Solanum lycopersicum: one gene and its partner. The protein of the gene in region 1 interacts with the protein of each later gene in a biochemical or structural test. Links are inferred from orthologs where the notes say so. Each region holds a gene or a part of one and is shown in the gene's direction. Other genes may lie near its edges.

Region 1 (2,565 bases):
GAATTTAGAGAATGAGCTGAGTTGAACATTTACATTACAGCATGACTTCTGATTTTATTACTCAGGGTGATGCCCAGGATACGTTGAACGCACATAGAACATTAGATCTAGCATCAAGTCTTGAAGTGGGCCCAGCAACAAACTCGACTACTGGAGATGCAGCTTCTTGTTACAGTGCACGATCTGTACTGACAATCGCTTTCCAATTTCCATTTGAGGACAATCTTCAGGACAATGTGGCTACCATGGCCCGACAGTATGTTCGCAGTGTGGTTTCGTCTGTCCAACGAGTTGCCATGGCAATATCTCCTACGGGAATGAATCCTACACTGGGGGCCAAGCTTTCTCCAGGCTCACCAGAAGCTGTAACATTGTCGCATTGGATCTGCCAGAGCTATAGGTAAGGTCCTCACAACTGTAATAGTCTTGTGAGCCTTGATGATTTCTTGATCATGGTGACACTTGTTCCCTTCTGTTCTGCGCAACGTTTTGCTTTTCATGTGCATGATCATGCTTGCTAGTTTTGGCTTACTGCATCTCTGATTTTCAGTAAGAGTGAGATACTGTCGATTATTTGAGAATTTTTTTTTTCTCAACTTATTGGGATAAGACATTAGAAGTGCTTGTCGGATTGTTAACATTCCATTTTCTTTTGCATTTTATCTCCAGTTATCACATGGGAACAGAGTTACTTCGAGCTGATTCTAGTGGCGATGAATCAGTACTAAAGAATCTCTGGCAACACCAGGATGCAATTTTGTGCTGCTCATTGAAGGTATGAAGTTCTTTTGCTACAGAATTTATTTATGAACTCGTGTGGATATAACGAAATTGTAATTAAGAAATGCTGTATGTTATTGTTGCTATGAAGCCTGAACATATACATAAAGGAGAACTTATCTGATTGGCGTTTAATTGTCCTCATTAGTGTTCCAGACATTTTTTTGACTTCCCCACATTAAATATTCTCGTCACGTTTCTAGTCTTTTATCTTTTTACAAGAACGTGTCAGTAAGTTGATGATGTTCTCTCTGTTGTTGCAGTCGCTGCCAGTTTTCATTTTTGCTAATAAGGCCGGACTCGACATGCTGGAGACAACATTAGTTGCATTACAGGACATTTCTCTAGATAAGATATTTGATGAATCCGGAAGGAAAGTGTTGCTCTCAGAATTTGCCAAGATTATGGAACAGGTAATTAGCTACTCTTGACATTCTGTTGGCTATTCTGATGTCATCTAGTATAATGGTTTGATCCACGGGCTATTGCAGAGCCAAAAGACCAAAGTTGAGGCTGTTTTCGTCTTGACTACTTCTTTTTTCCCACTGTTGTTTCTTGAGCACAGGGTTTCGCGTGTTTGCCTGGTGGTATCTGCATGTCAACAATGGGACGACATATTTCATATGAACAAGCTATCGCGTGGAAAGTGTTTGCATCGTCTGAAGAAAATGCTGTCCACTGTTTGGCCTTTTCGTTTATCAACTGGTCATTCGTGTAATGCTATCATATTTTTTTTTTCTTTTTCGACCTTTCTCACAGAATACTGATAGCCAGGAACACAGTTGAATGAGGGGACAAACGAAATTTTTTGTAATATGTAAAATTCCCAGTTTCTTCTGCATTAATTTAATTAGACTGGAAGGTGTATTTCATTTCTTGATTTCTTGATACTCTTGTGTAAATCTTTTTAGTGCAGTTTTGTTTTTGTTTTTTTTCGAGTGAAATTGCTTGTTTCTGAATGTTATATTTTTCCTTTTTTCTAGTTCAGAAAGTTTATTATTTATACAAGGTAACTCACAACCGCTATCCCTTTGGATAAATCAAGTTATCAAGCTTGATTTAGAAAGCATGTAGTGGTATTCGTTCATGTTCAACCAACTCGATCACCTTTACATGTACTGTAGATTTAACATTACATATACCTATTGTCAAAATTTATATAGCTCATATCTCTGGTTAGTCACAGTGATTCACTATCTCTAAGCTTAATCAAAATAGTGTTACGTAAATTAAGACGGAGAGGTACCAAGTGAAATATGCTAGGAAGAATGGCTAAATGATGGCATTTTCAGTATCAAACAATTTATGTGCAATCCTTTATATCCAGCAACAGAGTTAGAGCACAGCTCAATTACCCACATTAACCTGCTTTACGCAATCAGTATTTACACACTGCAGTAGCAATTGCATGTTTTTCTGGGACATTGATTATCTAGACAAAATTTTACAACATCAAAACAAAAGGCAGTACTTTTACAAGATATTTTGGCGTCGTTTCTAATTCCTTGAGAGCCTTTCTTCACCTGGATGCAAGTGACCAAAAGTTTAAGAGAAATGATGGCAAAGCACAGAACCAGCTAAGAAAAGCCATGGCAGTAGCAGTCTCGAACTCTAAGCAGTGATTTTGTGAGCAGACACCAAGGTCATTGCCAATCAGTACAGTAATGCCAGCAGAAGCACAGGCTGCAGCAAACATGAGGGTAGAAGTGACCTGCAAGAAAGACATTCATGAAGATGATAAATGGTAAGAAGTCAACAATCTGGACTATGCTCCACAATGAGCTT
Region 2 (3,584 bases), on another chromosome or scaffold:
CATTAAAATGGAGCTTTACTCCTAATATATCATAATACTTTTCATACATAATCAGATCTGATATGAATATCAAATATCGATTAATTTTTTTTTAAATGGCAAATGAGTCTAAGTTAATACAATGAATGTTTTAGATGAAATTTCTATAAAGAGGACAAAAGAAGAATTATGTAAAATAGAAAAAATTAAAAATTAAAAATTTAATCATGGTTAGAGGGGGTGGGGGGTAAAAGGGGGGTAGGGGTGTGGATGTGATGATGGGCCTGTCTTGGTTCGAACCAATCCAAAACATCATTGCGAATCTTTGGAAGGCCAAACCCCTATCATCATTGGACACACTTTTGAATTGCCCAAAATGCCCATATTAAGGCCCAAATCTCTATATGAAATGACAAAAATACCCTTATTGTCTTTTATAAAAAAACTCAAATGCCCTTTAACTATAATCATTCAATTGACTCCATCACTTTAGTCTAAAAAAAACACTATAATCATCATCATAGTAGAATGGAACAAGGTTAAATCCTTTCCAATATATGGATAATATCTCAATTTAAGTTATATACATCGATAATATCAGTAAATTTTAATAAATATTTTAATTATAAAAATAATATGTACATTTTATTAAAATTTAAAATCAATCACTATTCATGACAGATTTAGAGTTCAACCTACGAGTTATACATCAGAACAAAAAAAAAACATTTAACAATTACTTCCAATCTTATCACCATAAAATAGTCATTTTCAAAATAAAATTTCAAGAATGTCATTGAGTTTTACATGTATAATTCAAAATCCAAAAAGAAAAAATTCTATTACAGAACTCGAAAAATGACTTAGTTATAACTAAGGAAACTCAATAACTCTCCTAAACCTTGTGCAACTTACAAATTCATCTGTTTCAATTTATTTTTCTGATTTTGATTTGATATAATATGAAAAAAAACAAAATTAAATCTTACGATTATAAACTAAAAAAATACGTAAAATGTGATATATAAAAGTTAAAATTACCATAATAATTCATAAATTTCAAATTCTGAATCCGTGAGTCCGTAATCATTACCATAGTAGAATGAAAGAAGGTGGTTTGAAGTCCTTGCCTATAGATACAACAACTATATACAATTATACACAAGCCGCCTTCCATGCTTACACATGCATGATTGTTGTGCAGATAGAAAAAGAGATACAAAAAGCTTTGTCCCCCCCCCACCCCACCCCCACCCCACCCCCAAAGATTTACTTAACTTTTTCCACTATATATATCTCTTGTTTTTACTGCCCAAGAAGTATAAGTTGTTGTTTGTTGTAAGTGATAAACTCACCAAACAAAATCTTCTTTCTTCTTCTAGCTACTATACTTCTTGTTCTATAACTAACCAAAAGGTAATCTTTTTTGAAAAAATCAAGAATCCACCCCACCCCACAACCACAAAAATTGGTACATTTTTTTCTCTTTTAAAGTTTACAACTTTTGAAAACTTTCTTATTCCTTTTGTCTCCTCACATAAACTAAAATTGTCAAAAGGTCATGTTTTTATGTCTTCTTGAAACTTTTTTTTTTTTTTAAATTTCATTGCATGTTCAACTTGGGAATATAATAAATTCCCCCCCCCCCCCCCCTTTTTTTTTTCTTTTTTTTTTCTTTGTGTGTGTAAATAAGAAGTTTGTCTCTTGTTATATACTTTATATATTCTTGTCTTCCAAGTGAGGTAAACAATAAGAAAAAAAAAAAGTACCAATTCTTGAAAGTGTGAAGATTTGGAGATTTTGTTTTTCCTTATTCTATTTGCTTTTTTTGTTGTTACAATTTTTTTTATTTTTTCTAAATTTTTGATCATTTGTTTTTCTTTGCAATTGTAATGATTTCTCCTACTATACTTTCTTTTACACATTCTCATTAATTCCCTCCCTATGCATATCATCATTTCCTTTTCTTTTTTTTCCCCCCCATTTTTCTCAAGCTCTTCTTTGTAGGTAAATCATAAATGATTCAATAGTTTTTATAACTTTGTTATAACATGTTAGTTAAGTATCATGTACCCTTTAAACATTTTGTCACACATGTATCAAATTCCTTAATATTCGATACAATGTCAGATTCTTCAAAACTTTCGTCGTACATTTTTTCAAGACTCCGAACAACATACTCATGATTTTTTTATTTTTTTAAATTTTTTGCAGGAAAATGGACAGAATTAACTCAAAGCTCTACTTGCAAAATTGCTACATAATGGCTGAAAATGAAAGGCTAAGGAAAAAGGCAGAGTTATTGAATCAAGAAAATCAACAACTTTTGAGTGAACTAAAACATAGGTTATCACAAGCTGGTCCTAGCAACAACAATAATAATAACAACAACAATGGTGGAGGAAAAAACAATTCAATTCCTGATCTTAATCTCACAAATTGTTCTTCATCCAAGAATGCTTCATCAAAATCCAAGAAAAAGTGAAAACAAAAAAAAAATTATTTGAAGGGGTCCAATCTAGTCATTGAACTAATATTATGTTACTTCTTTTTAAAAAAAAAATTTATTTTGGGGGTGTTAAATATTATTAGTATTATAGTAAGGGGGTCAAAAAAAAAGTAGGAAGTTATGGTTGTTGGTGTTTTTTTTTTTTTAGTTATATAGGTTTAGAGGAATTAAGGAATATATGGGGTTTTTTTTTTGTCTGTGTTTAAATATTTTGTTTTAGTATGTGGGGTTAGTTCTGTTTTGGAGCCAAGAAGTTGTAAGCAAATCTATTAGCTATATATATAAAAGAAATATAAAATATGGTTCCTTTATATAGTTTCTCTCTTTAATTATCATTTTTTGTTTCATTTTATTGTGCTTAAATTCAAAATTCTGTTTCGGAATATATTTGTTATGGCAAAAATTTGAATTTTGTGAGTAAAATAAAATATTATTTCAAAAATCGACCCAATATTAGTATGTCTAAACATAAAACTTTGAAGATTAAACATGAAACTTTTAAAAATTTATGTTTAAACAGATATTTGAAGATTAATCTGATTCAAAAATCTACCATCAAAGCTAACAATTAATTTTTTTTTCTTACTAAAAAAGAGTGATGATATTGGCCAATTGTAATTCATTAACTGTAATTCTTAGTGTTTGTCTTTTAATTAAAAAAAATATAGGAATAAATAATGTTAGCATAAGATGAAAGAAACAAAAATGTGATCTTTTGATTCACAACATATTATTTTGCATAATTTACTTGAAAATAGAAATATAATGAATGAATTTTAAAATTAGTTTTAAAAAAAAAAACAGAGGCCTTTCTTGGCTAGCTGTCTTGAAGTTTTTTGCTAACATTATAAATCAATTATCAAAAGAGTGATAGTTGATATTAATCCATTTGTTTGTAGTTAATAAAGAGTAATTTCCTCATTTATCAACTATTTTCTATAAATTAGCAGGAGTTGAGGTAGAGTTTGATTTACGTATAAGATCATGATCCGCGTTCTAATTACTATAATTTAAAATTAGAGGTGCTTTCTAAGTTAGTAGGAGACGAGGTAAAAAGTAAAAATTTCGAACGTCAAGGTATGGTGATTTATATATA

The links.
Region 2: the proteins of homeobox-leucine zipper protein REVOLUTA (region 1) and DTM form a complex in vitro, tested with the Arabidopsis thaliana proteins (2 studies listed by BioGRID). The link is inferred for Solanum lycopersicum from reciprocal best matches to the Arabidopsis thaliana genes REV and ZPR3.

The regions. Positions count from the first base shown.
Region 1 is NC_090810.1:59,494,410-59,496,974, forward strand, and holds the end of homeobox-leucine zipper protein REVOLUTA, read left to right. Parts: intron 1-65; coding exon 66-400; intron 401-669; coding exon 670-775; intron 776-1,043; coding exon 1,044-1,193; intron 1,194-1,345; coding exon 1,346-1,498; 3' UTR 1,499-1,724; downstream 1,725-2,565. Other genes in the region: CASP-like protein 5A2, read right to left, coding at 2,300-2,491. UniProt on the Arabidopsis thaliana protein: Probable transcription factor involved in the regulation of interfascicular fiber (cortical cells) and secondary xylem differentiation in the inflorescence stems. Required for lateral shoot meristems (LSMs) and flower meristems (FMs) initiation.
Region 2 is NC_090808.1:3,533,632-3,537,215, forward strand, and holds DTM (protein LITTLE ZIPPER 3), read left to right. Parts: upstream 1-1,297; 5' UTR 1,298-1,395; exon of another isoform or gene 1,396-1,450; intron 1,451-1,518; exon of another isoform or gene 1,519-1,537; intron 1,538-1,854; exon of another isoform or gene 1,855-1,986; intron 1,987-2,193; 5' UTR 2,194-2,197; coding exon 2,198-2,464; 3' UTR 2,465-2,799; downstream 2,800-3,584. UniProt on the Arabidopsis thaliana protein: Competitive inhibitor of the HD-ZIPIII transcription factors in shoot apical meristem (SAM) development. Acts by forming non-functional heterodimers. Part of a negative feedback loop. Involved in SAM development and lateral organ patterning.